Linked DNA regions of Alligator mississippiensis. The protein of the gene in region 1 interacts with the protein of each later gene in a pairwise test. Links are inferred from orthologs where the notes say so. Each region holds a gene or a part of one and is shown on either strand. Other genes may lie near its edges.

Region 1 (7,695 bases):
CCACAGTAAAGGAAACCCAATAAAAGAAGCAAGTGTACAAACAGCAAACAAATGAACAAACAAAACCCAAAAGGCTGTGGTCTTTTTCAGACCCTGGGAGGAGTTAACACAGACTCACTGCTTCTACCCAAGCACCACATCTCCCCTCTTTTTGCTTTTTTCCAATCTGTGCCTGGATATTTGAAGCCTTTTTGTGGCTCCACCTCAAATCCCTCATTAGCTGCAGCTGCTGTCACCCTTCCTGCACTCGTAACTGCTGACTACCTGCAGTTGGGTTGCAGGCTCAGCCCTGCTCCTTACACAGACCCTCCAGCTTTTTTCACATACACGACCAAAGCAGCCACCTGGCAGAACTCCACCCCATGCCCTCACCTCTCACAGCTTTTTCCTTTACCAGCCTAATCCCAGTTCATTCAATTATCTCTCAGAAAATACAAATTCCCTCATGCCCTGACATGCTGTACCTCAATCAGACTTCCAACCAAAATGGTTCAATACTGTTTTCCTTTAAATGACATCTCAGATCCTGAAGCACAGCTCCACAGTGAGCAATAGATACTGCAGTCACAGTATCCAAGTCAGGCCCTGAATTTAATATTAAAATAGGTAGCCATAAAGGCTGCTATTGTGTAACATAATATTGTTTTCCTCAAGTCCAATCACAAGAGCTTGCAAAATTCCCAAGTTCCTAATTTTTAAAATAAATGGCTCTGTAGACATTTCTTGAAAACAATTAAATTAAACAGGAAAGGCCAGAAGCCCTACCGTCACAGTTAAACAGCCTACAATAAGACATACTGTGTTTATTTAACTATGTCAAGAATTGCTCCCCACCCTCCCTGCAGAGACTGCTTTGGGATTCACGCTTCACAAAGTTCACTGATACCTAAAGTTTTCATTTTGTCTTGGCACAGGTGTTTCCAGCTCTGGAAAGTAACACAACACTGGGACTTTTAGATTACATCATTCCGTATTACATTGCATGTTTTCTTTTCATTTTTACCATTTGATTTGATTTTACTAGCTGATCTCCTCTGAACCATGAGAGAGTGCCATTTCAAGCTTGCAGATGGTATGAAGCTAAGAATGAATGTTTTATATACACTAAACAGCAGCAACTAAAGCAGTCAGAGTTAAGGTCATGACACTGAACAGGGTGCTTGAACAGGAGTCTAATTTTAAGCAGAAATAGTCCCAGCAAAATCAAGCTTAAACACATACGCGGGCATCTTCCTGATCCAGGGCCTATGTGAAAAAGGTGCAAGATAGGGTCACACTGTTCTGAACACTAAGCTGTGATGCCTCCTGATTGGGATGGACAAGGAACAAAAGAGTTACCAAGACTGAAATTGGAGAAAAGATCCAGATGGCTCAATGGCACCAGCTGTTCTTGTTTCGGGACATCTAACTGTAAGGTAAAAAGAGCACAGAGGCAGCAAGCCAGTTCAGCAATGGGGTCAATAAAGACAGAAGGGAACCCGCAACCCTTTCCCAGCAAGTCGTGAAACCACGCGGTTACAACACATCGGAACTTTCAGGGTGGACTCCAAGGACAGAGCAAGTCTATCGCTGCAGAAGCAACTCCTGACCAGTCCCCTCAACCAGGATGGCCAGAAAATGCCTTGCTGCCAAGGGTGGCACCTGTTGGTTTATCACCATACATTATACTGGAAGTCTCTGGCCATTTCTTTCTAATCCTTGAAGGATCCAGTACCACCGATACTTTCCAAAGGGCTTTAACATTAGGAGTTACAAGTATCAATAAAAAATCCCTTATTTACAGAGTATTTAATATGTAAGTTTAAAGACACTTGTATTTTCGAGCCCACAACTTCTGTGGTGCTCAGTGCCCAGCCAACAGCCAAGACATGCCCTGCAGACCTGTGTCATTCAGCCCGCAGAGCTCCCCGTGGGTCCCAGCACATGCTACCCTATCTCCCATCGCTGCCTGATAGCAGGAACCGCGGAGACAACGCAGCCTGTGCTTTGTCAGTGATGCTTGACCAGAAAGGAGGCTGTGGCCAGGAGGGTCCCCGGGACTGCAGGCCCGTCTTCACCCGTCTCCGAGCTGAGTATCACCGGGCAGTGCCCACTGGCTCCTTGGACTAGTTGGGGGGCCAGCAGGGACTGTCCAGTGAGCTCTACTCGGCGTCCCGCCTTTGGCACTCTTGTTCCGGCCCTTTGACCTTCACTCCTGTCCGTTTTCCTATTATTTGTCCCCAGCAATCAACTGCCCCCCTTCTCTGCTGCCTCCCTGCGTGAGGGAGGCTAAGGGTGAGGTGGTGAGTGGTGCTGAAGGGGGCAAACGAGCCCCCGAGCAGCTGCTGAAAAGGCAGGCGGGCAGGAGCGGCATCCCCTGCGCCTCGGACCCGACACGGGGTGGGGTTTGGAGATGCCCCTGGATGCCGCCTCCCCGGGGCAGCGCCCCCCTCCGCCGCCGGGTGCAGCACGGGCCAGGGGCCCCGCCGGCCTAAGGGGGGCAAACCAGGGGCCCAGTGGGGCTCGGCACCCGGACGCGCTGGCCTGGGCCGGGCCGGGCCGGGCCGGGCCAGCCCCAGGGTCGCAGACAGCGCGGGGCAGGGGCCGCCTTCCCGCCCGCCGAAGCGAAGGGCCTCTGGGCCCGGAGCGGCACAGGGAAACTGAGGCACCGTCACTACGCCGCCTGACTCGCCTTGGGTCACCCAGCGCGAAGGAGGCGGGGCCAGGCTTGCGCATGCGCAATGCAAGGGGAAGGGGCGTCCCGGTCCGGCAAGCCGTTACCCGCGGCGGTGCTGCTGGAGGGCCCGGCTTCCTCTCTATAGTTCGCGCGGCTCAGAGCGGCCAGTCACGTGAAGGCCTGCGGAGGAGCGAAGGGGTGAGCGCGCGGGAGGGGTCGTGCGGAGCTGGCGCTGGGGGGAAGGAATGGAGCGCTTCTCTCACCGGTAGGGAAGGGACATAGGCCCCAAAAGTGCAAGGCTGGCTGCGTAGTGCGCATGTGTGGGAGCCGGAGCATGCGCACTGCCGGCTGTGAGACTGCGGCTCGGGTCCCCGCCCTGATCTTGAGAAGCAGGCACTCTGCCCTAATCCTGAGGCGCGGAGGACCCCCCCCCCCGGCGCGAAGGTAGGTCGATAATGCGCATGTGCGCTGATAGGAGCATGCGCAGTGCCCTCCCTGGGCTCTGAGGTGGGGGCATGTGCTCAGAACCTGGACGGCTCTGCTGGGGGGTGATGGTCTGCTTGAGGCGAGCCTGGGAGAGGAGAAACACTCTACTCATTCTCCCTGGTCCTGACCCTGTGCAGGGACTCCTCGAGCCCCTCAGCGCACTGCAGAAGGACCCCTGTCTTTTTGTCCCTGAGAGGCCCGGGGTAGTTAGAGCCAGACTATGTAATTATTTGGGCCTGGGGGCCACATAGGGAGGTGTGAAGAGCTGTTGTGTGCTGGGTCCACGCAGCAACCCACCCAAACTCTGTGGGCACATCCACGTTCATTAATGTGCCTCAGATCCTGTGAATTTATTACTTAATTTTGGACTAACTGAACACACAGTATCTACAGTTACTGGCAGTGGGGTATTAGCATGGTTTGTGCCGTGACATACTACTGCGTGGTGGTATTAAGCTAATGTGCATTAAGCGTCTCATGTAGACATGCCCCCACTGTGGGATGGGGCCATAGGCGGGGAGCTGTATTCGGGAGAAGGATGGGCATCTGCTTCCTGCTGGGCCCCACTGCTCAACTGAGCTCCCCTCACCTCTAGAGGCAGCTCCTCTTGCCCCTGGTGTGCTGCTACAGGTGGGGGAAGCTTCAGCCGGTGGGTCCTACCCCAGCACATGGGGCTCTTGTAGCTCCCAGCCACCTTTTACCTGCTCCACCCGCTCGGCTGCCATTTCCCCTGGCTGGAAGCAGCGCCACGGGCAGGAGCAGGAGCAAAAGCTGCTGCTGGAGGTGAGCTGAGCAGCACCCATGGGGCTGCAGCTGCACCAGGAGCCACTCTGCCAGAAGCTGTGCACACGGGCTGGGGCCTGCAGACAGAGTCAGGAGCGCAGCCTGGGCTGGGCTTGGCCCCATGCAGAGCTCCACAGGGGCAGTCGCTGGCTAGATCCAGTCAACTGGTTGGTTGGATCTGGCCAGTGGGCTGTATTTTGGCCAACTCTTGAGTTAGAGAGTGAAGGTCTGCCCCTTGCATTGCAAGACTCTACAGATGCCTCCTAATGGGAGGATCTCACCTACACAGTTTATGCTGATGACTGAGGATTGCTCTTGGGGGGGCACGGCGGTGGTGGGAGTATGTCAGTGGTGAGTGGGGAGCTCCTGCAGATGCTGCCAGCACTGGCGGGGGGGGGGGGGGGGGGCAAGCGCCGACCAGAGGTCGGCAATCACCCACAGATGCCACCGGCAGCATCAGCAGTAGACAGCGGGGATCACTGACTGCTCGCAGGCAGCGGCAGGGTGGCGAGTGACGACCGCCCCCAAGCACCGCTGACAAAAAGGCGCCACTGACACTGCGCATGCCCCTAGCTTGTTCTTTCAGCTTTTTGGCTAGGGGCAAGCAAGACTAGGGGGCATGTAAACCCCAAGGCCTTGGGGCTTGCATGTAGGATGCCTGCCATGGGTTTGGGAGTATCCTAAGCCCCAGGCTGAAGAGTTTGGGAGGTAGGATACTTGCCAGTGGTAGCACCACATGGACCTGAACAGTTGAGCTCTGCTCAGTCAATAGAATTTGGAGTTGATTTGGCCTGAGACATGGAATTTCAAAAAAAAAACAAAACCACCCCAAACCATATGATGCATATGTGAATGCAAGAGCCAAGATCTCCTGAGTGGCTTTTCTCAACAGGAATTAAAACAACCCCCAAGGTACCACTCTAGAGGGTTTGGGCCATTGCGAATGACGTCCTTTTTGTTTCGCAGGTGTTGCGTGATTGCGGGCTGGCTGCGCACTGATGGACAGTGAGGTGCAGAGGGACGGGAGAATCCTGGATCTGATTGACGATGCCTGGAGGGAAGACAAGTTACCATATGAGGATGTGGCAATACCCCTGGTAGGTGACCGCTGTGCACTGAATTAACAGCCTGATCTTGAGTCCTTGCATTTCCAAATTTCTTAACCCCTTCTAAGCAAATGATCCTTGCAACACCACCACTTTGTACCAGAAATACTCTTATACCGCTCTGTTCAGCTTCCCCTTTGTTTTGTGTGTGGCAAGAACATGGGATTCACTCCCCCACTTCCTCCCTTCTCTTCCCCCTCCACAGGTGGGGGTACAAATGCTTTCATCCCACAGCTGTTTGACTCCTTGGAAGGAGGAAACCTCTCCTCTTGCTCTTAGTCAGTTGTCAGCCTCTTTGGAGGGTGCAATGCTTCTTCCCATCCCCTGCCTCTGTTTGGGGTTAGGGGCAAGCACAAGTGATGCTCTTTTATCAAACTACATTTTATTATAGTGCTGGTTGTGTTTGAAGCAGTTTGCCAGACTGGGGTCTGTGGGTCTCGGATAAGCAGCCTTGTGTTGGCAGTGTGTGGAGAGTTAGCATTTAAGTACTGTTGGCTACTTTTCATTCCCAGCTGCTAAAATGCATTCAGTGTTTTCCTAAGAGTACTTTTCCATGTAAACAATCACTGTAATTATTACTAAAATGGTGTGATCATGGTGTCGGGACCAAGGGTCGGTCTAAGGCTATGGCCAGTAGCCTGGACCGTCAGATGGGGTTTTTCCACGACGGAGTAGAGTTAGGCACGGAAGCGTATTGGTTTTACAAAGAAAGCTTTACTTACACTGCCGATGGTCACAGTGCAGGGAGGAAACTTGCTTGAGTTGCAGTTGCACACAAACAAACACAAGTGAGATCTCTTCCGAACCACACCGAACCGAGATGAGTCGTCGATGTATGACTCCACGAGCGCTTTACACGGGGGATACGTCAAATTTTCACTATGACGGGGAGTGGCTAAGAGCTGATCAGGCCTCTATGTCCTCCTCCAAGGCACACGCAGAGTTTGCTAGGCTCCACAGCACGCTCAGAGTTCCCCACGAGATGGTTGTGGAGTCCTCCAACTTGGGCGGAAACTGCTCTAACCTTTTGTACGGCTAGCGAGCCAATTGCTAGCCGCCACGTAGGAATAATTTAGAATTGACCAATAGTGGGACACTAATTTGCATGCATGTGGCAGGAACTCTTTTGCACCAGGGATTTCTCTCTGCAGCTGAGAAATCCACCGCGCGAAGAAAGCTCCATGTGGCGGGAAAATTCCAATGTGCCGAGGCACTAAGAATCATTGGGTTATGACGCATAGAAGCATCTGTTATGTGATCCCAGTATTGAAATACAATCCATGCCAGAGGTGCCCCTTAAATTGTGCACTTGAACACATCTGTATTGGTAGTCTCTTTGCTCATAAAGGTACCTACACGACAAGGCAGCTTCCCTTCAGGACACAGGTGCCAACTTATCTGTCCCTGTGGGCCAGGTGAATGGCATGGGACTGGTTCATGGACTGGGTAAACTGCCAGGGGTCAGCCTGTGAACTGTCTTGGACCCTCCCCACCACATGATGGACCCTCCCCACCACATGTTGGATCCAGCATCTGCTTTGTGCGGTCCATGGTGCTTGTTCCATGCAGCACAGATCCTTGACCAGCCAGAGCAAGTGCCAGATCTGGCATGCAGGGGATCCAGTGGAGCACTGCTGCTTCCAGCATGGCTGTTCCAGCCCTTGCTCTGGCATTCTGGAACTGTGCCACAAGTGGTACCTGTTCTGAACTGGTTGGAGCAGGAGCTGGATCCACCATGGGGATGGGAGCCAGATGATGTGGCTCCATGGGCTGGATCTGGCCCATAGATCTTATCTTTGACATCTTTCCCTTTCCCCAGAGGCATGTAGTATCACCAGTCAAGAGCTAGTTGAAAAAGTGGCTCCCCTTATCCCCAACTGCATCCAGTGCTAAGGGCCACTACACTTCCCCTTTCCTCATCTCTCAGCTGGAGTGAGGGAGTCCCAAGGACTTGCCCTTTCTCTATTCCCTTACCATTCTGCCAGCAAGGGGAGTGGAGGGGAGGAACTGATTTCTCCTAGGTCTGTTAGCAACTATTTTTGATCTATCATGAACTCTGAAGTACACCAGGATCTTTGCAGCCCCTTTCCATTGGATACCTGCATATCCTGTTACTCTTCAAACACACACCCTCCCCACATAAACCCCATTCATTTTTGGATTTCATACAGCCTTAAATGAACTGAGTAAAGGCCTTCCAGAGGTACTCTGTTCTGGTGAGCTCAAGATCTATTTTCATGCTGATACTTACCCAACTAGCAGTGATTTTTAGTTCATAGCATAAGTATGCAGCCTGGGGATGGACCTCCTGTCACCTGAAATATGATCGTCTATGAACAGGTTGAAAATCCAGCACAGCTTCTTCAGAAGACTTTTTCACTCAACAACATCAAGAAGGGACTGACTGAAGGGTCCTAAATATGGTGCTAACTACTGCTTCCCTTAATGCTTGATCCAAACTCCAGTAAACCATGAAGGCTTCCAGTGACTCCAGTACGCTTGGGATTGGGTCCTAATTGAAACAAATTTTAGATTTTGAGAAGGTCCTTTTGTCTTGTCTCGTGCTAGGGAGCCCATGACTCAGAAGGGAGAATCCTGCTCTGGCGGTTTCATTCAGAATAACATATGCACACTAGAAATTGTACAGTTATGGCAAAACACAGT
Region 2 (7,979 bases), on another chromosome or scaffold:
CCACAACAGACTTACCAGCTGGATGCAGTTGTATCAGAAATTGGATTGCTATCAGCCAATATGCCTCCTTAAAAATCGGCTATTGGTATCATCCCCAAAAATCTATCAGTGCACCCCTATTTTAAACCATGGTTTATGCAGATACACTAGAGCTCAGAACAGGATACAGGACTGTGCACTACTTTATAAATCATCCAAATGATTTTAAAGGCAAATCTACTTGTTAGCAGGGATCCAAAGTAAATCCCTCAAGACAGGAATAACATACTATTGCTGCTTTCTCAGAGCTAGCCTTCTACTCAGCTGCACACTGAAGAAGCTGGTGCCCCTGGGAATATTCCAACACTTGGAAAAATTATAAACAACTAATGTAAAGAGTGTAAAAAGGCTAAACTACAGACACATCAATGAAAACATGAAATAGCTTGAGAAGCGAAAACTTCAAAATCTAGGGAACACAAGAGATTTTATATATTTGAAATATTTTATGGGTTAAAATAAACTGAAAGCATAGAAAATGCCTATAAAAGGGATTGTCCCATGCAGCAGGCTGTCATACTGAGCCATGGAAAAGGCCCTTTTTGGTCCATACAACAGAATACCGATTACAATGGTTGAAAAGCAGCTCTTTAAATCAGAACTCATGGCGGAGGTGGGATCTTTTATTAGAACAACTGGATATTTGCAAAAAAAAAAAAAAAAAAGGCTTTATTTGCAAGCTTTCAGGCACAGGTACCCTTCTTCAGGCATAGGAGAGAACAAAGATTGTAAAAGTTCTCCTAGGTATAAATGAAAATTCGTATTTCACCTTTTCAATCAGGCTTGCAAAATTCTGCCCGCCAACATTCTTATGCTAAAAAGCAATGAAAGGAAGTTTACCAGCATTATGGAAAAAATGAGGGGACAGAGGTTTTATAAATCCAGCATGGCCAATATTACTGTGAATGTTTCCAAGGCTACTTTGTATCAGTAGCACGAAATAACCTAAGGTAACCTTATCTGTTTGGATTATCCCTGAAGGGATAGTTTTATGTAAAACAACATTCAGTCTTCTTTCAAAGAAACCTCCATGGGGGGTTTATCCTACCTCTGCAAATGGGTTAGCAAAACAAGAAAAAAGCAAAAACCCAACAATCCATATCCACTGCCAAGGCCCCTCTCCTGTAGCGGCTCAGCAGGGAGATCAGAGAAGTCTGAAGTATAACATTAAGAGCACAGCTACATATTTTTAAAACACTCTTGACAGCAGAGTAATTGATAACAACCTCAGCAGCAGATGAACAACTGGACATAAACAAAAGCTAAACTAACAAAAGAAACTGGATCCACCACACTGGCAGTAACATTACAAAATGTGAAAAGAATATTCAAATATAGAGGAATGCCACCTGGACAACAATACTTCAAACCTACATGCTGCAATGTCTTTAATCCAGCAGCCCTATAAACACACTTGGAACCCCTCCGATTTCTATAGGCCACCTTGCAGCTGCAGAAGTGCTGCCATGCAGCAATCTTTTCAGGGACCACTAGTAATAAAAGGTCCAACTCTGCTTGACACCGAGTGTCCTCAGATTCTCCAAAGCATTGAGGCTCCCGATCAGTGTAGTGTACCCCAGGGGCATATCAGTACCAGCAGGACTGGGCTAAGGTGCCGTTTAGAAATACTACTCACAACGAGAGAGCCTGAAAGAGCTGCTAACAAACTAAAAATGCACCCCATTCACCCCCCTGTCCTACTTTACATGCAATCAAATCCAAGAAGCGTGCATGATTACTACAAAGCACATCTACATATATGCAATATGCCAATACAGTCCAAATACATAGACACGTACCACCCATACCCACAGTGTTGTTTTCTATCTACAAACAATGCTATGCACTGCAGAAGGGTACATGGAGTCTTTCAGGATGATTGAGATATATATATATCTCTCAATCATCCTGAAAGACATGCACACATACATACATACATACACACACATATATACTGTATATACATATACATACAAATATGCAATTTACACACACAAGCTCATAAAGTCATGTTTACACACACACACACACGCTCAGTTATGTATACACACACATGCTCAAAGTGTGTATATGTACACACACATCCATATATATGTATTTATGTTTTGTTTTGTGTTTTGAGCATGTATGTTTGGGTGCATATATGTATTGAGCATGTGTGCACATATATTTGAGCGTGTGTGTACACACACACACACACACACACACCCCCTTTGAGCATGTGTGTATATATATTTGAGCATGGATATATACCTTCAGCATGTATGTGTGTGTATACACACATACATACATACACATACAGTTTGAGCAAGTACGTGTAAATATATTTGAGCACGCATATGCACGGGTGTATATGCACACGCATGCATGCTCAAAGTACATACATAACCCCCCCATCCGGTGCAAACCTCCCTTGCCTTCCGGGCCTGTCCATGCATTGCACGTAAACAGTGGGGAGGCAGACAATGGGCAGAGCCGCCCCGGCCGCCTGCCGGGCCCGGAGGCGATGGCCCGGGCCAGCCGCCCTGCGGCCCAGGCGGGGCCAGGTGCGAGCCCGGCGGCGGGGGCGCCCCCCGGGCGGAGAAGGGGCTCACCTCCCCTGCAGAGCTGTGCGCGTCCCAGCCGGAGGTGGCCAGCATCCGGCCCATCAGACCCCCATGCCAGGGGGCTCCGGGGGAGCCGAGGCTTGGCTGCTTGTTCTTAGTTTCCTGCTTGTTCCATGTTAGAGGAGGAGGAGGAGGAGGCTGGTGCCCGCGGGCTTCATGTCTCCATGGCTGGTGCTGGGGAGGGAGCTGGCTTGCAAGGGGGAGCCTGCCTGCTTGCAGCTGCCCCCGGGGCAGAAAGGAGCCTCTGGGCTTGGGGGGAGAGGGGATTAAAAAAGAAAAAAAAAAGGGGGAGGGGAGGGGGGATGGGAAACAAAAACAAGAGAGAGGCGGTCGCAGCGAGCCCTTCCTGGGGGGAGCAGGGGAGGGAAAGAAGGGCCGGCAGCGCCCGCCACCGCCTCCTCCCCCTGCGCCGAGGGGCCGCCCGGGAGGCGGTGACAAAGCTCCCTCCCGCCCGCCCCTGCTGCGCTGCTGCCGCCCGCTCAGAAACGTACCGGCTGGGGTCGGGCACCTCGCCGGCCGCAGCGGTGCTCAGCCTTTTTCTGGACCAATGTTTGTAAACATTGATGGGCAGCCCCCACCCAGTCCTGAGCCGCGGGCCCCCGGTGCTGGGCAGGGGGAGCCCAAGCAGCCCCTCGCAGGCTGGAGCTCTGTGAGCCCGCACGGGGAAAGCCGCGGTGTCCCACACGGTTTTCTCCTTGAAAGGAGAATCCATTTTTCAAGTTTGTTGATCCTTTCTTTATTCGAGTAATTAGTTGGGGGGGGGAAAATCTTTTATTCAACTGTTTGAGTTGGTTTGATTAAAAAATACCAGATTTCCCCAAAGAACCTTGTCTGCCTATATCCTCAGATCAACACAGTGACAACCTACCCCCTTGCCCCATTTTTAAATAGCATTTGTGACCCTTGGGTCATGACCTACATGTTGAGAAATGCTGATCTAGTCCAACCCCTGCTTAAACCAGGACAAGCCCCAACTACATCATCCCTTTGTGTCCCCAACACCACCCCGGTAGCCTGTTCCAGGGCTTTGCTGCCCTCCTAGTCAGGGAGTGTTTCTTAATATCCAACCTAAACTTCCCTTGCTGCAACTTAAGGCCATTGCTCCTTGTGCTGTTACCTGCCACCACAGGGCTTGTGGCCCTGGCCTGTCCGCAGCTTTCAGGAGGAACGTGTGGTTGTAAAAAAAAATAACTTTTTTCCAAGTATTTAGTCAGTCTAATAAAAGATATCACATCTACCCAAAGAACCTTGCCTGCCTATGTGTGGGGTCCTGCATTAGTTAGTGAGTGGGAGGGTGTCCCCAGCCAGACACTGCAGTGGCAGGTGTGCGGAAATGAAGTGCCCTTGGCCTGGGTGCCCCCAAGTGACTGGTGGCTTCTGAGAGCAGGCCGCAGGGTGTCAGTGCTGCAGCCCAGGCTGTGGGTGCTGGGTCTTTATGTGTGCACACGTGTATACACATGCATGTATACATAGACAGATATATGTATGTACTGCACATGTCCCTGGCCTGTCACGAGTCTTCTGTGGCCATAGAACTGCACCTCACTTGTGTACCACAGTGTGCACATGTATGGTTATGTTATACAGGGGGGCAAATTGTATGCACATGCTACTACTTTGGGGAGCCAAGCCTAGCACCTAGCCCAGTGGCTCCTAGGAACTACCACAGTGATGATGATTATCACTTAGGAATAGTAGTAGTAGTATCATCATCATCAGGTTATTGTTGTTCTTATTATTATGTTATTGCTGCTATTATTATTACTGTTATTGCTGTTATGGTATTATTATTGTATTGTTATTGCTGTTGTTACTGCTGCTGTTAGTATCATCATCATTGTTGCTATTATTTTGTTGGTTTTGCTGCTGTTATTGTTATTTTGTTATTGCAGTTATTATTATTACTATTATTATTTTGTTGTGAGGAAGCAGACAGTAGTGACATCTCTATGGTCATGTAAAATATTTGGCAGGCACTGGATTGAAATGGGCCAGCCCACCTTGACCATCATGGTGCTGGCAGTTTTACTTAGCAAAGTACATTCACTTCTCAGCAAAACAAATGACTTGATAAAGCAGAGTGGGTAGCAAAATTTTGCAAGGCTGATTTGCACATAGGATCCCACAGCTGCAGCAGCATATGGGATCCGTGGTGTAGAACAACGTGATTCAGGATGACAGGAGTTCTATTTTTTTCTTCCAGTCTTCTGTGCAGGACCTATGCTGTAGGTTGTGGGATAGGGACTTGGTTTTCCTCTTGCTGTTTTGCGGAAGGATCAGACCTAGGCGTCTGCAGAAACTGTGCTACGACTTATTCATCCCTCCCCCTTTGCCCTTCCCCCTCCTCCTGCCTCACTGCGCATGCTGTCAGCTGGAGGAGGCAAAGAAAGAAAACAACAGAGAGAGAGAGAGAGAGAGAGGAGCTGGAGGGAAGGGGAGGATGAGGAGGAGGAGGCAGCAGCGATGGAAGGAACATAAGGAAGGAGGTGGAAATGGTGGGGGACTGCAGGACAGGGCTCCCAAGACAGAACCGTCCCAGTTTCAGGCAGTCTGATCTTGCTCGCTGCCTAGGAAATGTTGGGGAATGTGCAACTGGTGCCTCACCATTACCTTCTTCCTAAACCTAGTCCCCCTCCTACTAGTTTTTAAATCGTGCTTTTTTGTTTTGTTTTCAGGTGTTTATGCCCTTAGAGGAAAAAGGAGAAATCTGCCACACTTCCTACAGCAAGACTCACTGCAGTAAGAGGAACAGTAGAGGGGGAACTCAGGATTTGTTTGTATTAGTTCATCTCTTTCCCCCAGTGCACATTCATGCAGGGGTGCCATGGCAGAGGTTAAGGTGTCTTGCTACAGCTTCTGCTGGGTAAGTTTGAAATTTGCTTTATGCTCAGGCAACAGGCCTTCCAGCTGTAAACGGGCAGCTGGTCATTCAAGATGGAGTTAAAGGCAACTGCTTCATGTACGACTGGCTACAAAAGTAGGCATGCTTTAGCCTCAGTAGCCCAGTGAGCCAGTGGATTCAGGCGGACCTTGGGCCGTTTCGATATGCACGCGCAAATGCACACCTTGCTCAGCATTACATTCATCTCCCAAGATAGCCAATGCCCAAATTCCATTCAGGTCACTGGAGTTATACCAGGGAGTGAATTTGTCTTGATGTGTTTACCAACATAGCTTAGGCAGTTTAAGGTAAGGCATTAAGAAAAGGCTTGTCTGATACAGAACAGAAATTGCCTATAGTCACCCAAAGATTTCCCCCAGAAGAAATGACACTGTTGGTACATATAGCTGTGCACTAATGGAATGGTTAGTTCCAGGATTAAGGAATATTTTGACTAACTCTTCTACAGTTGTAAGCATTTTATGACGTGCCATTTAAAATAATGCAAGCTGTATATGAGGTAGGTACCTTGTCACCACATTTGCACACCTACAGCAGGAATGTTAAGTTAGGAATAAGTTAGCCTGTCATGGTCTGCTATCCTTCTAACACCTATGTAGGGGCAAAGACTCAAATTCCGTACTTCCACTGACATACAAGTGGCAAACAGGAGTTCCTTGGTTCCCTGATCTATTTGCTATCTTCCTCCTTCACTTCCTCCTCATCAGAGACCTGCATTTTGTGGTCTCACTCAAAGGACACTCGCTAGTGAGAGAACCTTTCAGGTGTTCTCTCTCAGATATGGACCTCTCATGATTAATATCCAAATTAGTATGAAAGTCTCATGGAGATGGTTTCTTGTGTTCAATTTTCTTTACACAGGGTGGAGTGAAGAACAGGTAGAGGGGTGGGAACAGAAAGGGTCACATTTCGCTCACTGAAACATCCCTGGTATGGTGGTCATCCCATTTTACTTTGATCTCTCTCATCTGCAATCCCCTTCTCTTTATTTTCATTCTATCATATCACCCCTTCGTGCCATTAGCCAAGCCTGTGAAAATTTACCAATATTCAGCCAGGTTATAAGCATTCAATAAAACTGCATACAGATGCTCAGTAGAGACCAGTCAGTGTTTAGCAGCAATATTCACCACAGATTCCACCTGCATGGAGCATGCTGCAGATGGGAGCTACAGGGACTGAGTAGGACCCTCCCTGCTCTTGTTCATCATGGCTACCAAACCTACCTGGACACAGACCATAGGAACTGAGGCTAGGGAAGCTGTCTTAAGTGCTCTAAGTGCTCCTGCTGCTGGTTCCCTGGGACCATAAAGGAAAACAAAGAAAAATCCTTATTCAGATGCAAAGACATAAAGAACAGACAATTAGGAGCTATGGGGTGGAATAGGCAGGTCCAAAGAAGGGAGGGAAGGTGGGATGGACAGGGAAAGGGAAGGGCAGGAGCTGGTACAGGCACTAGACATGAGGAAGGGCAGAGACAGCAACAGGGTGTTGATAGTGTTGGCTACAAATGTCCAATGCAGGATCCTTAAAATTCTGGTTTATTAGGTGGATTGAAACACTGTAATGAAATCAAATTATAAACCTTGGGGCTGGTCCCCTCATACACATGCACACACACCGTAGCAAGCTCTAAGAGTTGGGTATACCTGTCCCACAAGCGCTGGAGTCTGCCGTCGATGGCCAGTCGAGGATTCTTCCAGCATGGTGTTATCCTCCAGAAGGGGGTTGCCGGCTGGTCCTTCTGGCTGGACAGGTTGGGTGCTGGTCAAGTTGGAGATCAAGAGGGTGCCTCTGAGGGTCACTTTTCACTGCTTTTTATGTCCTTGGCAGACTTTGGTGACTCCCCAGTTTTCAGGTTTGCCCAATCCAGGGGTCATTGACCCTTGTGGGACTTCGTCCTTGGTGGCTACTGGATGGCACCTGTCAGCCCCAGGAGTCATCCACATGTACGTGCAGGTTTGGGAGTCTGCTGATTAATTTTGATTAATTTACCGCTGTCATGAATAGGGCTCTGGGAGTGGTCGATCTAGAGATATTCAGCCCCAAAAGTTGGTCCCCGGCATTGATTAACTCAGACCAGGGCTTCTAGCCCTTGAACAGTGAAGTTCAGAGAATTCCCGGTTGCTAAATTGTCTCCTATTGATTTCTTCGTTGGTTGATCTGCAGTTTCCGCAGGTGTTAATCGCTGCTTATTACTGAAGCCTGCTACTGTGTTACGCATTCAGTCACTGATACACTGGCTCTTTCAGGGGTCCACCTGATACAGGGAAGCACTGGTTTGATTCCTGCCCTTGTTAACATTGTTACAGTGTATAACTTACTTCTAAAACTAAAACACATTTAGTTAAAAGGTGAAGAGTATAAACTATAAGCTACAAGAGTAATGCCATGGCACACAAATAGATAAAAAATACCAAAATACAAGGGGA
Region 3 (7,177 bases), on another chromosome or scaffold:
TACTATATGACCCTTTACAAAACCTAAGGCTTACTAAGTCCCTCACATTTTAATTGTCATGTTTTAGAATGTGTAACATGCACCAAGCATTACAATATTTCCACTGCAGGTGATATTCTGTAGTGCAACTTGCCATAACATATGGCAATAGCCAGTAATATTCTTACTGCACATATACAAGCAAATCCACTGACATCACATTCACAAGCATTTTCATTATCATGTTAGGTCCAACTGGGTGTCAAGGGAAGGGTTTCTCTCAAGTAAAAAAGAAAAAAAGCAACCTACACAGGAACCCTCATCTTTATGCATGAGGGAGAATAAACCAGCAAAAGGCAGTAAGTCCATAGTTTGGGCTGTCATAAAATGGAGTAAGATTACTGTAGTCGGTTCCTGACTGCAGAAGAGAAGGGAAATGTTCACACTACCATGCAGAAAACCCTCTGATGACAGACTGGAGACCCAGTAATATTTCTTGACCTGAAAAGAATTAATGTAACCCTAGAGCCCAATATGGAATTTCAAACTGAGCACAGAAACACAAGGTGACCTGACCCCCTTTGGAGGAGGTGGAAGGAAGTGGTCGGAGTAGTTAATACAAAATAAATTCTGGCTTACGTAAAGTGTTTTTGGCATTTCAGAGTGCAAGTCTGCTGCCCTTTTCAACTGTACAATTCATTTTGGTGAAAGGTATGAAGCCGTCCCCAGATAATTCAGGTGCTTTACCTATGATCTAGGGAAGAGATGACCTGTCCTTACCTGCTGTCAGAACTGCAACCCGTTGTGGGGTTTGCCACGTGGACACATCCACTTTACACTGGCCCAAGGCCAAACATGGCAAGATAACCACAGCTCCTGACTGGCCGTGACAAGAAGCGAAGGGGCAAACTAGAAAAGAAAGGCAATGGAGTATCTCCATCCAGGGCTGTTCAGGGGACCCCTGTGGGCTCACACTCCCTGCAGTGGCAAGAAGCTCAGCTGTGGGCCTGCAGGATGTTCACAACCACACTCGTTTGGGAATTTCAGAAGCTAGGAAGTTCAGGGCCAAGAAGCAGGGAAAAAAAAATCAGCGCTAAGGTGTTTCACCCCCCCCCCCCTTCTGGGCAGTGCAGCAGCCACAGCAGAGGCATGACGTTATCCTGCTGCCTTAGAACAGGAAACAGGCACAGGGAGAGACATGCACATGCCCTGCAGCCCTGTGCCACCAAAGGCCATGACAGCCACCTGGCCCCATGGGGGAAGAGAAAAGGGGGGGCTCAGCCCCACCCCACGGGGGGGAGGGGCTCAGCCCAGCCCCACAGGGGGGGGAGGGGCTCAGCCCAGCCCCACAGGGGGGGGAGGGGGGAGGGGCTCAGCCCAGCCCCACAGGGGGGGGAGGGGGGAGGGGCTCAGCCCAGCCCCACAGGGGGGGGAGGGGGGAGGGGCTCAGCCCAGCCCCACGGGGGGGGGGGGGAGGGGGAGGGGGAGGGGCTCAGCCCAGCCCCACGGGGGGGGGGGGGGGGAGGGGGAGGGGCTCAGCCCAGCCCCACGGGGGGGGGGGGGAGGGGCTCAGCCCAGCCCCACGGGGGGGGGGGGGGGGGAGGGGGAGGGGGGGGAGGGGCTCAGCCCAGCCCCACGGGGGGGGGGGGGAGGGGGGGAGGGGCTCAGCCCAGCCCCACGGGGGGGGGGGGAGGGGGGGAGGGGCTCAGCCCAGCCCCACGGGGGGGGGGGGCTCAGCCCCACGGGGGGGGGGGGGGGGCAGAGGGGAGGGGCCCAGCCCCGCCCCACGGGGGGGAGGGAGGGGCTCAGCCCAGCCCCACGGGGGGGGCTCAGCCCCACAGGGGGGGCAGAGAGGAGGGGCCCAGCCCAGCCCAGCCCCACGGGGGGGGGGGGCTCAGCCCAGCCCCACGGGGGGGGGGGGGCTCAGCCCAGCCCCACGGGGGGGGCAGAGAGGAGGGGCCCAGCCCAGCCCCACGGGGGGGGGGGGGGCTCAGCCCAGCCCCACGGGGGGGGGGGGCTCAGCCCAGCCCCACAGGGGGGGAGGAGGGGCTCAGCCCAGCCCCACAGGGGGGGAGAGGGGAGGGGCCCAGCCCAGCTCTGCCCCATGGGGGGTCTCAGCCCAGCCCCATGGGGGGGAAGGAAAGGGAGGGGCTCAGCCCAGCCCAGCCCCACGGGGTGGGGGGAGGAAGGGGGGGGGCTCAGCCCAGCCCCAGGGGGGGAGGGGGGGGGGCTCAGCCCAGCCCCAGGGGGGGAGGGGGGGAAGGGGGAGGCAGAGGGGAGGGGCCCCAGGGGGGGGTTCAGCCCAGCCCCACGGGGGGGGGGAAGGAAGGGGAGGGGCTCACCCCAGCCCAGCCCCACGGGGGGGGGGGAGGGAAGGGGAGGGGCTCAGCCCAGCCCCACGGGGGGGGGGGAAGGAAGGGGAGGGGCTCAGCCCAGCCCAGCCCCACGGGGGGGGAGGGAAGGGGAGGGGCTCAGCCCAGCCCCACGGGGGGGGGAGGAAGAGGAAGGGGGGGCTCAACCCAGCCCCACAGTTAACTGCCGGTGCGGGCGCGGGGAGGCGGGGCGAGGGGCCGGTCCGGCCGTGCGGGCCCCTCCCCGGGGCGGGGGCGGCGCCTCCCGCCTCCATGTCGGCGGCGCCCTCACCTCCCACATACAAAAGCAAAATGTCCGCCATGTTCCGGCCGTACCTTGATGCCGTAGGGCGGCTCGTCGAAGGTCACCAGCATGTAGCGGTCGCCGCGGCTGGCCGGGTCCCGGGCGCGCAGCTGTGAGGGGAGAGGGCGGCGGCGTTAGCGTGGGGCCGGGCCGGCCGGGTGGGGGGGGGCGCGCGAGCGGGGGGGTGCTCACCTTCATGAAGATCTCCACGGCGCCCTTGGCCACGTCCAGGTAGCTGGTGCCCAGCGAGGCGCGCTGGTTCATGGAGGCCGAGGTGTCTATGAGGAAGAGGAGGATCGGCATGGCCAGCCGTGCCCTGCCTGCCCGCCCGCCCCGCTGCTCCGCTCGGCGCCGCCGCCCGGGCCCGACTGAGCGCCGCGGCCCTCGCCCAGCGCGCCCGCCCACGTGACCCGCCCCGGCGCCATTGGCTGCCCGCCGCCGGCATTTGCATATCCCGAGGGGCGGGGCTAGCGGGAGGGGGAGGGGCGGCGGGGGGAGCCACGTGCCCCTGGCGGGGGCTGCTGCCTGGGGGGCTCCGCGGACCTCGTCTCCGCTCCGTGGTTGCGGCCTGTTGCTGGGAAGCAGCTTTCCACGGAGGGGCCCCTTTGTAGGGCTGGGGGGGCTTCCGTAGGGCTTTGCAGGCCTAGGTTGTGGCTTTCCATAGGGCTTTGCAGGAGGGGGGGGGTTCATAAGGTGGGGGTTTTTGGGGCGTGGGGTTCATACGGCTTTGCAGGGCAGGGTGGGAGGTGGGTTTTCATCAGGCTTTGCAGCCCAGCCCTGGTCGCCTTGCAGGGGTCACTTTCCTGCTTGGTGCAGGGGGCTGGACCCCATCATCTTCCAAGGTCCCTGCCAGCCTGACACTCGGTGAATCATAGACAACCACAGTTCTTCCTAGAGCAGCTGGGCTGGCAGGGACCTGCGGAGGTCACAGTTCATCCGCCTGGTTCCCACCCAAAGGCACCCTCGTGCTCTGTAGGTATCTGGTGAGGTATCCTGCCAGGACACTGGGGGGACCTTGGGCTCTGTTTGGGGGGGATTGTGCAGTTTTGTGCTGGGAGGTAGTAGAGATTTCTGATCGGAATCCACAGTGCCCATAGAATGCAATAGAAAAATTGCCATTTTTGTTTTTCCCCATTCAAACTAAGAGCTGGCAGTTTCTGAGGGGTCCTTGAGCCTAACAAGGGGCCCTGAGTCTAAAAAAGGTTGCAAACCACTGGTCTATAAGGTGCATGCCCTGCATTTCCGCCGCCTATCGACAGCTTCTTGCGCATCCATCAGGCGGTCTGGGCTGCCGCACGCTCTGCGCCCAGCCCCTTGCTGCAGATTGCTGCCAGCCACCCTGGGCCCTGCTGCACTGGTCCAGTCGTGTCCTTTGCAGACACTCGTGCACCTAGAGTAGTGCCCAAAAGCTGAGCCGGGGCCCCACGAGCTGTGGGCTGCCCCAGGAAGGTGACAACAGTTGAAATGAGTCCCTGATTTCTAGGCCTCCACAGTTTTGCCCTTTAAAGGCCCTAATTTGAGGGTGCCAAATCCCTTACAAGCGTTTTCCACTTGTAATGCTGTTCATCAAGGCTGCCAAAAGTTAGCTGCTAGATGTTTATTGCATATTTTCTGCTGCAATTGTGTGTGCACATGGCAACTAAGAATGTCAAAAGGAGGTGCAATAAATAATTGATGACAGTACTCCCATACCAACTCAAGTGAGGGGGAAGAAGGGATGAAGATGCTCTGGATCATCAGAGAGGGGGAAAAAAGGATACTAAGGCTTCAGCTGTGCAGTGAGGTCCCTTCAAGTGAACCCATGCCCACACATGGGGCCCTCTGGATTTGAAGTCACTAGCACTGGTATTAGGCCCTGGTGCTGCCAATATCTACAACTAAGCACACTAGTAGCTAGTGTGAGTGTTCAAGGGAGCTATTTAGCACTACACTATAGTGCAAAATAGTTTGCAGGATTAAGTCCTGAAAATACTAAAGGGACATTTCAAACATAAATCTCATTTTTTTAAATAATTCAGTTGCTAGTTACTTTCCATTGAACAGAAGCACTTTTTAAACTCAAATGTTCTTTTTCACAGTGTATATTCCCCTACTTTTCTGTATTTCATTCAAGTCGAACGATTGAAAGAGCAGTCAGTTTCATGGTTTCTAGTCCATTTCACTTTATTTTTCTGATGCACTTGAACAATGCTGTTTAGTTTCACAACATTGCAGTGGGATGTTAAAATTGTCTCCAAAGCAATTTTAATTAAAAAGGAAAGGACTAACATTGTTCATGAAAATACTTTTACTCCAAATCAGTCAAAATCATCTCCAGTGTACCACCACTGAGTGTGCTGGTACACATTAACAGTGGTTCTGAGGGGGGAAAAAAGGTCTTTAAAAGAAAAAGAGGAGAAAGAGAAAGCCCTTGAGTCCATTTCAGAAAATAGAAATTGGCCTGTTAGGTATTGTAATTACCCCTTCATCTCATCCCACACAAAATCTAAATTCTGGATTTACAACGGGTAAATGTTACTGCTCTACATAAAAGGTTTTAGAAAGGCTTTTTTAATAACCAGCTTAGCTTATATGCATCTGTATTTTACACAATTTCAGCGAATTATTTAACAGTAATGGATCAGAGAGAAAAAAACACTTAAAAACTCCCGCAATAAAAACAAAGATACACAAGGATATTCAAACCTTTGGCTCTGCTACCTCCAAGTCATGGATAGGTAGGTGTGTGTTTCAAAGTACAGTCAGGATCTGGGCTCCAAGCTTTTAGCAATTTCTGGAAGAAAATACTGAAAAGGTGAAGTATTTTTAGAAAATATAGTGTACATGGGTGAAGCTAGATCAATAGAGCTGGAATTTCAATGCCTACTTATCTACAGATAAGGTACAGCAAAGGCAGCAGTAGGGCCAGCTTCCCCAGACTCCCCTGCTAATGTATTTCAGCCTTGACCTGGAAAAACAACTTCGTTTCCATACGGTCCTTGCCTTTGTAGCAGATGCTAACTCTGATGTAGGCATGTCTGCACAGAGTACTTGACTGTGACCGCATGTTCATTTCTCATATGCATAGCCATCAGATCATACGGTAACTTTTAATCACAGGTGACCTGGACCAGTTCAAAACAAGCAATGCGAAGGTTTAAGACTGCCTATACTGCTCTGTGAGATAGACCACAAGGTGCTAAAAGACCCTGAAAATTCATACTATTAGCAAGATTTCTGTGACTCCAAATGGCCAGGAACCAATATGCAGCTAAGCCCTCCTCTCCTCTACCCTCACAATAGTAGTTAAAGGTCAAGATGGAAGAAGGCTCTTGCTTTCAGTTTCAGAGGCTGACTTTTCCAGGAGCAGAGCTCCTTGCTGAGGGCTATGGTTTCTGGAATTTGCTCCAGCTGAACTTCACCAGAGCTGAAGACTAGCAATTTTCAGGGCACAATGCAGGAGACTTATTTATTTAGTTTAGATTTATGTGACTTTTTTTTACTCCCGAAAATAATGGTTGCTAATGTGCACAAGTGGAAAAAGCAGCGAGTGGCTCTTTGCTGGGATCCATTGTATGCAGCTCCACCAATTTGTGTTTGCATTTCTAAATACCTGGCTGCTATGGTGACAGACACTCCATAAATCAATAAAATAAGTTAACTCTTTTTTTTTCAATTTTCCAGAGAAGAGCAATTTAACTATGAGACATAAAAAGCTTGTCTCCAGGGGTAAATTGACCAGAGCAGCTATTTCAGAATAAACTAGTCTGCAATATCTATTTCAGACTAGTTCCCTATGTGGAAGGGCTGCTCCAGAATAAAAGTCGCTTTATTGTGGAAGTATTAGTGCACTTTGTTCTGGTCAAGTGAATCGTGTCGATAAGCCCTTATTTTTCTTTTCCTTGTCCTGACATAGCTTAACACCTAACCCATCTCTTCTAATAGGGGTTTAGTGCTAAAAACCATCCTTACTTCTTTTTGTATTGCTTCACCTGTTAACTTTGTTCTCACCAGCCGGCTGACCCAGGCATCTAGCAAATCTGAAAGGCAGTAGCCCTGCTCCTTTAGGCTTTGATCAGGGGTCATAGATGACCTCCTTTAGTCATCAGCAGGGCTCCTGGTTTTCTCCGATTGAAAAAAATTCCCAATTTTTGGTTAAGAAAAAGTAACCTCAAATCCAATTTTTTCCATGATTTAAATGAAACACCACTAATATATAGATCTATATATAACGGTGTTTCATTTTAATCATGGAAAAATGTGTATTTGGGGTTACTTTTTTTTTAAACAAAAATTGGGGATTTTTTTTTAAATCAGAGAAAACCAGGAGCCCTGGTCAGCAGAATCTGAAAAGTGCTGGATGTGCCAATCAGGAAGAAATATCCAACTTCAACCCACTTGCTACCAGATGAAAAATTAAATCCATCAGACCCTTTTCTGTGGGTCCCCATTTGAGTTTATTCCAGCCATACTGACCACTTGTCCCTTGGCTCCTGATAGCGCCCCCCAAATTAACAGATATGTGAAATCACTGTAAAAATATTCATTAGGCCTCATAATGTCT

What was found. The genes of interacting proteins can lie anywhere in the genome.
Region 2: the proteins of CEP63 (region 1) and CCNI interact in a two-hybrid assay, tested with the Homo sapiens proteins (2 studies listed by BioGRID and IntAct). The link is inferred for Alligator mississippiensis from reciprocal best matches to the Homo sapiens genes CEP63 and CCNI.
Region 3: the proteins of CEP63 (region 1) and integrator complex subunit 6-like interact in a two-hybrid assay, tested with the Homo sapiens proteins (2 studies listed by BioGRID and IntAct). The link is inferred for Alligator mississippiensis from reciprocal best matches to the Homo sapiens genes CEP63 and INTS6L.

Annotation. Positions count from the first base shown.
Region 1 is NC_081830.1:30,840,210-30,847,904, reverse strand, and holds the start of CEP63 (centrosomal protein of 63 kDa), read right to left. Parts: upstream 3,004-7,695; 5' UTR 2,920-3,003; intron 2,855-2,919; exon of another isoform or gene 2,761-2,854; intron 1,409-2,760; 5' UTR 1,339-1,408; intron 1,325-1,338; exon of another isoform or gene 1-1,324. Other genes in the region: ANAPC13 (anaphase-promoting complex subunit 13), read left to right, coding at 4,924-5,022. UniProt on the Homo sapiens protein: Required for normal spindle assembly.
Region 2 is NC_081825.1:142,276,818-142,284,796, forward strand, and holds the start of CCNI (cyclin-I), read right to left. Parts: upstream 3,006-7,979; 5' UTR 2,634-3,005; intron 1-2,633.
Region 3 is NC_081831.1:80,204,833-80,212,009, forward strand, and holds the start of integrator complex subunit 6-like, read right to left. Parts: upstream 3,006-7,177; 5' UTR 2,938-3,005; coding exon 2,827-2,937; intron 2,745-2,826; coding exon 2,667-2,744; intron 1-2,666.